2 linked regions of the Neodiprion lecontei genome follow. The protein of the gene in region 1 purifies or fractionates together with the protein of each later gene. This does not show direct contact. Links are inferred from orthologs where the notes say so. Each region holds a gene or a part of one and is shown on either strand. Other genes may lie near its edges.

Evidence for each region. Proteins that work in one complex are often made in the same cells at the same time.
Region 2: the proteins of chromatin-remodeling complex ATPase chain Iswi (region 1) and inorganic pyrophosphatase fractionate together in Drosophila melanogaster (co-fractionation; 4 studies listed by BioGRID, with this or other methods). This does not show direct contact. The link is inferred for Neodiprion lecontei from reciprocal best matches to the Drosophila melanogaster genes Iswi and Nurf-38.

Annotation. Positions count from the first base shown.
Region 1 is NC_060263.1:31,594,962-31,601,481, forward strand, and holds chromatin-remodeling complex ATPase chain Iswi, read left to right. Parts: upstream 1-1,895; 5' UTR 1,896-2,253; coding exon 2,254-5,289; 3' UTR 5,290-6,017; downstream 6,018-6,520. Other genes in the region: NADH dehydrogenase [ubiquinone] 1 alpha subcomplex assembly factor 3, read right to left, coding at 797-1,201, 1,283-1,400, 1,501-1,582, 1,701-1,731.
Region 2 is NC_060263.1:9,925,925-9,930,549, forward strand, and holds the start of inorganic pyrophosphatase, read right to left. Parts: upstream 3,039-4,625; 5' UTR 2,947-3,038; coding exon 2,754-2,946; intron 1-2,753. UniProt on the Drosophila melanogaster protein: Component of NURF (nucleosome remodeling factor), a complex which catalyzes ATP-dependent nucleosome sliding and facilitates transcription of chromatin.

The DNA of each region.
Region 1 (6,520 bases):
GCTACATTACATCTAACATGCAAGTTACTTTGTGCAAGTGCAACACTAGGGCGTTCCCATACTCGACTACTATCGAATTTCAATCTTGGCGCAAAAACACTGAACCCATCTCCATCTAACCCTGCTCTAGGCAGGGTTCATTTCAATTAGCTCGGAGTCACCCGGAGTTGCCACCTCGCAAGTTTCGGAACTATCAGAGTTTACGACCTATATTTAGACTTACAGGTTTGGAACGCGTAGAGTTGGCCAGAGTTGACTACAGTTGGGTTTGGAACGCACCCCTTGCTTAAGCTGTTTTTAAATATGTGTCAGGCAGGGATTATATAAACGTAATGGATGATGATTCATAAATGAGTGAATTACTTCACACTTTGTACATAAATAATGTTGAATATTTTATTTGCTAAATATTCTATCAACAATTAATTAACTATACAAGTTTCTACGATAATATTTTGCTTTACACATACATAATATTACTATGTACATGGATATAAATTATGTGTATATCGCATAGATACGCATATATTTTTCAAATTCATAAATAGCTACACTATCAATAACAGTCCTTTGGATTCATTTACTGCAATAAAATGAGGTAAGCCAGTTACAGATGTGATATGACTTATGTAAAGTTAATACACTAACAGACACTGTGGATAGCTGTAAATACTTTAAATAATTATGAGCATTGAATCAAAATGCCAAAAGTAATTTTAATTGCTTCTTTCGCTTTTCAGAGCCAAGTTAACTAATATTACATGTACCTTCACTGAAAAAATGTTTGTTGGCGTACCTATAAGTTGGTCGAATTTTCTAAAGCTTTTGGACCCATTGGATCTTGTATGGAATCATTAGCATTAAAATCAAGATTTGCAGGTGGGATGAGCGCAGCTGCAACAAATCTTCCTTCAGCATTAAGGAAATTGAATATAGGACAAGCTTGGCATGTTGGAACGATCTCCATGTTCATTTTGAATTTTTTGGCAAACAGAGCCAGCTTCTTGTCAACTTTAATGTTACTATGAGGGTCACCAGTTCCAATTACTAAAATGTCTGGTTTTGGATCAAGAATAGTAAATAGCGACAGAGTTTCCTCGTTGACATCATCTATAGTATTAACCTTCCAACTCAGTACGCTTCTTGGAAATATTGCAAGTGATCCAATGATACTAATGCCATTGTTTAAACGAAATCCAATCTACAACAAGAATTTTGTTAAGCTCTGTATTGGTACAAACGTTAATTTTATCCAAAAAACAAAGAAATATAATAGCTATACCTTGCTGTAGGAATTTATCATGAGTCCATAGACTTCGTCCCTGTTAAGAATAGATATCGTCGTTTTTCCATCACCTTCGTAAGCACTTTTGCAAATGATTGATGAACTATGAATTTTCCTATAACAATTGATCGGTATTGGTAAGAATAATTTACAAAAGACGTGCAAATACAAAATATAATAAAAATCATTCACACATTTGAATTCGAGTAACTCACCTAATAGTTTGTCTCATGTTTGCCGAAATTATACGGCTAAATATGAAGGTAGTCGTCATCGTTTGCAGGTACAAAAAACACTCTTACGAAAAAATTGATAATTTATTTTCATGAAGTTTGAGGTTACATTGAATTTGAAATTGTATCTTAAGGTTATTTAAGGTTACGTTCTTGGACTTTGGGAGGTTATAGGAACCTACCGGTTTCGACGGACGCGTAAAGTGACGTCATTGGTCTTTTTCGTTCGCTAATCTCGAACTAATACTACTAAAGCCACTCGGCGGTGCGAGTCGCGCCAGTCCACTATCCAGTGAAGAGATCTGTGTTTCCGTTAGATCGGCCTAAAATCCGGTGTGGACACGGCTGAAAGCTTCATTATTCTGCTTCACGCCGTACATGCAACGCTGCAAAGGTCTACCATTTCACTCACGTTGTGTATATACTTTTGAAAGTCGAAATAAAGCTCGACCTGCTACAGTTTGTGGCAATTTGAAGACTACCACTAGTCATTAGAGTTACGTGCGATGGTTTAGTACTAATCATTTAATTACTGGCTGGTCAAGCTGACAGTGATTGCGGACATAAGTTAGTTTTGGAGGGAGTTGAAGCGTTAAAATGGCGATGAGCCTTTGGTTGATTCGTCGGTGAACACGGCATACTACACACAATACCGGTGAATAATCTGGCGTTGGGTAGGCGCTTCAAGTATTTTATTGAATAAATCAAGCAAGAAATTGACCTCAGCGACGAAAAATGTCCAAGCCGGAGACGGAAAATGCCGACGCTGTCGAAACGGGGGAGAATTCAAACGGATCGTCAGCAGAAACAACATCTTCTAGGGGTGGCGATTTCGAAACCAAACTGGAGACCGACAGGAGCAAGAGGTTTGATTACCTACTAAAACAGACCGAAATTTTTTCTCATTTTATGACGAATAATCAGAAAGACAAAAGTGTCAGTCCTCTTAAAGTTAAAGCTGGGAGACCTAGGAAGCAGCCCGAGATTCCTGTCAAAGGTGACACGTCGGCTGATCTCAGACATCGAAAAACAGAGCAAGAAGAAGATGAAGAGCTCCTTGCTGAGAGCAATGTCAGTGTTGCGCCAACGACTCGTTTCGAGTCATCCCCCCATTATATAAAATCAGGAGAGCTGAGGGACTACCAGATTCGTGGTCTTAACTGGATGATTTCGCTCTATGAGAATGGAATCAACGGTATACTGGCAGATGAAATGGGTCTTGGAAAAACCCTTCAGACGATTTCATTGCTAGGATACATGAAGCATTTCCGCAGCATTCCAGGACCTCACATTGTAATTGTCCCAAAGTCAACGCTAGCCAACTGGATGAATGAATTTAAGAAATGGTGTCCCTCGCTGAGAGCTGTTTGTCTGATTGGAGACGCTGAGACAAGGAACACGTTCATCAGAGACGTAATGATGCCAGGGGAGTGGGATGTCTGCGTAACGTCTTATGAAATGGTAATAAAGGAGAAATCAGTATTCAAAAAGTTTAACTGGAGGTATATGGTAATCGATGAGGCTCATAGGATAAAAAATGAGAAATCAAAGTTATCAGAAATTTTGCGCGAGTTTAAGACTGCCAATAGACTTTTACTCACCGGCACACCGTTACAAAATAATCTTCACGAGCTATGGTCACTCTTAAACTTCTTATTACCAGACGTGTTCAACAGCTCAGACGACTTTGACTCCTGGTTCAACACCAACAGTTTTCTTGGAGATAATTCTTTGGTTGAAAGGCTGCATGCTGTCTTAAGACCATTCCTTCTTAGACGCCTCAAGGCTGAAGTAGAGAAGGGACTTAAGCCTAAAAAAGAAATCAAAGTTTACATTGGACTGAGTAAAATGCAGAGGGAATGGTATACCAAAGTGCTAATGAAGGATATCGACATTGTAAACGGTGCTGGAAAAATTGAAAAAATGAGATTACAAAACATTCTTATGCAGCTACGAAAGTGCTGCAATCATCCATATTTGTTTGACGGAGCTGAGCCGGGCCCTCCGTATACCACTGACGAACATTTAGTTTATAATTGTGGAAAGATGGTGATCCTTGATAAACTACTGCCAAAATTGAAGCAGCAAGACTCGAGGATATTAATATTTAGTCAAATGACTAGGATGCTTGATATTCTTGAAGATTATTGCCATTGGAGAAGTTTTCAATATTGCCGATTGGATGGTAACACGGCTCATGAAGATCGACAGCGGCAAATAAATGAATATAATGCTCCCGGGAGCGAAAAGTTCATTTTCATGTTATCCACAAGAGCAGGAGGTCTTGGTATTAATTTAGCTACGGCTGACGTAGTTATTATTTATGATTCTGATTGGAATCCTCAAATGGATCTGCAAGCTATGGATCGAGCACATCGAATCGGCCAACAGAAACAAGTGCGAGTGTTCAGGTTCATAACTGAGAATACAGTAGAGGAAAAGATTGTCGAACGTGCCGAGGTCAAGTTGCGCTTGGATAAACTTGTTATTCAGCAGGGCAGACTAGTAGATGCGAAACAAACAGCTTTGAACAAGGATGAGATGCTCAACATGATTAGACATGGTGCTAATGAAGTATTTGCTTCTAAAGACAGTGCCATAACGGATGAAGATATTGATACGATACTTCAGAAAGGAGAAGCTAAAACAGAGGAAATGAAACAGAAGTTGGAAAATTTGGGTGAATCATCCTTGAGAAATTTTACAGTAGATGCACCGACCGATTCAGTCTACCAATTTGAAGGTGAGGATTATAGGGAGAAGCAGAAAATATTAGGTATAGGCAACTGGATTGAGCCGCCTAAACGCGAGAGAAAGGCAAATTATGCAGTCGATGCTTACTTCAGAGAAGCGCTAAGAGTCTCAGAGCCAAAAGCTCCAAAGGCACCAAGACCTCCGAAACAACCAATTGTTCAAGATTTCCAATTTTTTCCGCCACGATTGTTTGAGCTACTCGATCAAGAAATATATTACTTCAGACAAACAGTTGGGTACAAAGTACCAAAAAACCCTGAACTTGGATCTGACGCAGGAAGGATTCAAAAGGAAGAGCAGCGAAAAATTGACGAAGCTCAGCCACTTACAGACGAGGAATTGACAGAGAAAGAAAAACTGCTTACTCAGGGATTCACAAACTGGACGAAGAGGGATTTCAACCAATTCATAAAGGCTAATGAAAAATATGGTCGAGATGACATTGAGAATATTGCCAAAGATGTTGAAGGAAAATCTCCTGAAGAAGTAATGGAGTATTCTGCTGTCTTTTGGGAACGTTGCCACGAACTTCAAGACATTGACAGAGTAATGGCTCAGATAGAGCGAGGAGAAGCAAAAATTCAGAGACGTGCCGGTATAAAGAAAGCTCTGGATGCAAAAATGGCCAGATATAGAGCACCATTCCATCAGCTAAGAATAGCCTATGGAACAAACAAGGGAAAAAATTATACCGAAGAAGAGGACAGATTCCTTGTATGCATGTTGCATAAACTTGGATTTGACAAAGAAAATGTATACGAAGAACTCAGAGCAACCGTAAGATCTGCACCACAATTTCGCTTCGATTGGTTTGTCAAGTCAAGAACAGCTCTAGAACTCCAACGAAGATGTAACACTTTGATAACGCTAATTGAACGTGAAAATCTAGAGCTTGAAGAAAGAGAGAGACAAGAGAGACGAAAGAAGGGTGGAAGTATTGGATCAAAACCAGCGTCCAAACGGAAGCAAGAGAATCTTCCAGCACCTCAAGATAAACCTAGGAAGAAGAAGAAGTAAATGTACTTTTCATGAACTATGCAACACAATTTCAGTTTATCTAAATTTTAATAAGTTCCAATATCACTTTAAGTTTATTACAGTGGCTGAACTCACGTCGGACACAGGTTGTTCAGGTTAAAATAATTCGACATTATAATCTTTAGGGTCATCTATTATCAAACCACTGTAAACATAAATTAAAAAAATTTTAATTTTTTAACTGCACGTTAATTAAATCTTATAAAATAACTTCTATTAATTGTGTCGTTATGTGAAGTGAGGGGCACCAATTATACAAATTCAATACATTCTTCTAGACAACCTATTTACTTGTCACAAATAACTTGTTTGCCTGTAAAAAGAAGCGATAAACAGCAAATTTCATTTATATGAAGAACACCTTCTTTCCGTGAAGTCTTACGTAATGTTTAGAAGTAACGTCTTTTCTAACTAGAACAGTACATTGTCACACACGTTTGGAACCATAGTTATTTATGAAATATGCATGTAAAACAAAGAAATGCTCTAATTGTTAACGCTGAAAGATTTAATTAAACATCAATCATATTTACAACATTGTCAAATTCAGTGTTCTCTGTACTCTCACTTAGAATTAATTTACTTGGTAAAACTTGGGGATTTGATTCACGATTGATTGGTACGAAGAATTTTGTTTACTATCACGTTTATTGGATTTAAGAATTCTTATCGAGGAGCAGAGTAAATAAAAAGTATGAAATAAGATACATATGTATTATTTAATTTATATCCTAAATTATTTCACAATTTATAATATTTCTATAATTACATATATAATACATATATGTATAATAGTAACAAATATCTTGCAGTGAACACACGTCATTCGTACGTAGCGTAAATACTTGAGAACTATTAAATTATCCTCGTAATCGTCTTCATATAAATATAATAAAAATGAACTGTTTGATTTAAAGAAAGCATAATTTTGTAATACATATCGACAAATCAATTGCATTTTTTACGATCAAGATTTTATCTGTAATTATCTGTGTGCAAAACATAAAAATTGAATATTTAAATGTACCGTCTCTACTGCCAAAATATCTCATCCTATACAAGCATATTAGAGATTATTACGGTAATTATGATACTACCCTACATAATCGTACAGAAATAAATGAATATAGTATGCACATAGAATGTGTGACCAGGTATAATACATATATAGGTGAATCCTATATACCTATAAATGCGTTTACACATACTA
Region 2 (4,625 bases), about 22 Mb from region 1:
TTTGTTCTGGTATTTCGAATTCAACCTATTACGCACTTCTAGAAAATATACACATAGCTTCATCTACAGTTTGTGAATCTGTGTTGTCATTTGCTGTCTCGCAAGAAAAAACGATGAATGAAGAAGCAGGAAACATACGTGATGAGTTGACGGTATCGGGAGACGGTACCTGGAGAAAACTAGGCTTTTCATCTTTATTTGGAGTTTCTACATTAATTGGGAAGTATACTGGCAAAGTTCTAGATGCTATGGTCATGAGTAGTTATTGCACAGCGTGTAATATGTGGAAACATAAAAAAAATACAGAACCAGTGAAATATGAAATGTGGTATGAATTTCATGTACATGAATGTACCATTAATCATACTGGAAGTTGAGAAAAGATGGAAATTAGTGCTATTGTACAGATGTTTGCAAGATCTTTGGTTAAAAATGAAATTAAATACCTCACATGTATTAGTGATGGGGATTGTAAAACTTTTAGAAGGATCTTAGATTCTAAAACGTACGGAAAAACTGCTGTAACGAAAAAAGAATGCGTTGGTCACGTCGAGAAAAGAATGGGAACAAGACTCCGTGGTCTCAAAAAGGGTAAAGATAATAAAGGGATAGGCGGAAAAGGAGCAGGGAAACTGACTGATAAAGTCATCAAAGAAATGACTAAGTTGTATGGACTAGCTATTCGACGACGGAAGAAGTGGGTGTCCATTTTTTCGAGGCGGTTGTCTTCAGACCACTATAACTTTAATTCTACTGAATATTTTTAGCTAAAAATTTAACTGTACATTCTTGAAATATGTATAAATAAATGGTAAAAAGTTCAAAGTTCTATCCCTTCATTGGTCTTTACAAAAAAATCCTAAAAAATGCTCAAAAATCAGGGCGTCAAACCAGAGGACCCCCTTAAATCTTAATAATGTTCAAACTATTCTCATAAGGTAATCATATGAATCAAATTGGTCATAGCATCCAATAATTTTGGTGGGAAGCATTGCCTTCCTGCTTCTGATTTCACCTCAGATTACTTCGCAATATACATCAAAGTATCATGCAACTATCGAAAAACAGTAAAGGCATTGCAGCTTTCTCAATGGCATATGACATCATCTATGTGCCGGTATTATTGATTAAGAAATGATTTTTTGAAGAATTTTCACTAAATAAAGTTTAAAAGAAGAAATTCTGACAATCCGATAAAACACCATTAACCTTTCGTACTGCTAAACAATGTGTATCATTATTGGATTGTTCACAAATTTTTAATTACATTAGGTATATTCTATAAATGATCTAAAGCACTTTGTATATCAAGGACACAGCATCCTTTTAAATATTTGTGAACCCCCCTTTAAACGAATTGTCTTCAAGAAAGCTAACAGTTTGTAACAGATAAATAAGGAAATATCTCGAGGAATCGAACATCTATATTTGTCAGCAAAAAGCTTTTTTTAAACAAAGCTGTGGATTTTTGAAATCATAAGGTATCAAAATTTCTGTGGCGTGACAATTGAACAATATCAGATGCTTCTTTGGTAAGAAACTGGCTGAAGTGTGATCAACATTTGATAACCCAGTATTAAAGAGAGGTTGAAGTCTACGACGTTGACGTAACGAAGCATTTAAAAAAATTCCTAGTGAACAACTTTAAAATGTAGTAAACTGTCAACTGACCACAAAGCCAGTTTGGAACAGTTCTATAAACCAATTCTAAAATTGCCGCACAGCAACTTGAAAAAAAATATGATTCTTAATCCTCAGATTCAATTGGCAGATTTATTAACTCTTACATAAGGTGAAATTCCAAAACAATTTTTAACTCTTCAGCTTCCGGAAACAAGCCCTTTTCAGGATCTTTTTCTGACCCAATAACTAACAAATCTATTAATATATTCAGGAGATAAGATCAACAAAATTTGCACACATTAGAGTTATGATAATGCCTAGAAACCTTGAGAATATTTAGATTAAATCATGCGTGAAATCAGACTCCAAGTCACTAAGTCATTATGACGTATTTCTTTCGATTAATGTAGTTTGAGTGAATCATTTGTCTAACTATGCGATGAAGAAACTTGCAGAAAAACCACGGTTGAAACTGATAGTGAAATTCCTGATCAGTTACTTCAGCGATACTAAACATATGGAATTATATGGTGAAATTGATGAAATCAAGCATGTGTCCGTTGACATTTAGTCGGCACTACTTTCCTTTTACATAATTAGGTATCTATTCCGTCAATCTCGCAGATATCTGTGAATAATCGAAATAACTCATTCCGCCATATGAAAAAGTCTAAATGTCAAATTCCATTCAATCGTACGGCTGCAGCAACGGTAGAATACTTGAATATTGTTATTCAGAAATCTTGAACATCTTTCCGGTTTAAAATATGTGGTCATGTCACGTGACCTAACGCTACATCACATAGCACGTCTATACATATAAAAAAAAAAAAATACGTATACCGCGTATACCGCAAAGCGTGCGTGGGATAACATATTTTTTCGAACGGCGCGAAAAGTATCACAGAGAATGAGGGATATTTGATACTACATAATGAATGAACGTTATTGCCGTCACGAACGTGCTCAACGGTCAATTTACTCTAATCATTTTACAAGAGTTATCTAGGAATCGACCCTCTGGGGTTCAGGGACCATCGCACAGCAGTCGATAGGTCAGAGCTAATACGGAGACGGGAAGAACGCGGCATGAGATAAAGTGTAAATGGCTCGGAGAGTTGACTACTCACTGAAATATATCCTGTAATTCGTCGTGTTTGGTGTTCCCTTCTCAACCGTGGTATAAGACATGTTGGTTTGAAAGGCACGCTTCGCTGCCGAACTATGCGGCTTCATACAACGACCGACACTGGCCAAACTCATGGGAATTAGAAATTTTCTCAAAGCGGCCGACCGCAACACGTGCAGCTCTACGGCGGTCATAGTGACACCTGGAGAGTTACAAGGAAACAAAATACTTTGGAGACCAACACGGGCCCTCCAATCCGCCGATAAAGATAACAGTCCCGGTTATACTAACCGAGTCATTTTGATATTGCGTCGTAGTGTATTGGCGAATTCGACTCGCAGAAAAAGTGCAGTCCAAAGTCCGCATTCGGTACGCACTTTTGCTGTGAGTCCAATTCATTATACCAGGCGGACTTCTTGAATGGAAGCGACGCAAATGACCAAATGAGCGACCTACTCATCTCTGATATCCGAATGCAACGACCGTTTGTTTCATTGTTTATGACTATTCCATAACACTTCTACTTAAGTGTGAGAATCTTGTAGCCAAAGGATATCAAATAACCAACCATTTGAAACATGACTAAATGAAGTGTGACTTTAAAACTCATCAATTAAAGGCCAAAAGCCTATTACTAGATCCTCGCATTACAGACAGCTATAATATCATTGTACAAGTACCACGGAGATTAGAACCGTATTACAGACAAACTATGTTACACCATATAGCCTTGGAGATAGAATAAAACTGTGATACAATAGATATACATATAACCGATATAATATAGAGCAACTAACGCTAGGTTACATTGCCGTAATAATCTATAAAACTAGCGATTGTGGAACCTCTATAACCATGCATACAAATTATGAAACATGTATTGTAGAATCCTTTCGAAAACAACGTATTGTAGACAACGCTTACGAACGTTATGGAGGCAATGTAGATATCTAATGTGGAACCGTATCGAACGCTACCTGGAGATTACATCAGTAACACTATGAGTAAACCACTGAAGGTAAGCCAACTTGCCGGATGATTTTGTATGGTTAACCAATGGAATATCAATTCAAAACAACGAAAAATATAATGATGAATCCATTATTATAATAGCATCAAACCCTTCAGATGATTAAAATTCATACCGCTCTGGGAATTAAACGTAAAAATGTACAAATCGTCAACTCTTTACAAAGCTCAGTACAATTTCCAAAGAGGTGACCTGAATAGTTGCAACGCCGATTAACAGGCAACCAAAAAGCACAAGAGCAATCCTCAGATACCTTACAAACCAATCTAACTCGAGTAAGCATATTAGCCATCAGAGAAAACTATACAGAACATACATAAAAACTTATCCTAAGATTCTTATCTAACCAATTCCTCAAATACTTTACTCCGTTAAATACAATACGAATACCTGAGAATAATCACAGCAGTAGGTATTTAAAGTTAATATTAAATCTGTAATCATATCTGCTACGTACTCACTATTATACCTGTCAGATAATTAAGCAAATAAAATATAACGCTCTCAAAATAATATTCAAATACACAATCAATAAACCCTATTGTGTCTCCAGTTAGTCGTTAAAGCAAATGAAATATTCCAGTGTATTTATGTATTCTTGTCATACATTAGAATATTCTGGAAGCAAAACTACGCACCTAATACAACGCGCCGTTGCCTCGAGAACGCTGACGCTATGGTGAAATCAACACCACCAGAATAGTGCGCGTAAAGCTTGCACGCATAAGCGAACTGATACAGCGAACTCGAGCATAAGCGCCTTATGATCAACGACCTATGTCCACGCAACAAGAGATTGCTTAGATCTGAAATCCTGAAAGAAATGAGGATGTAGCGCTGTTG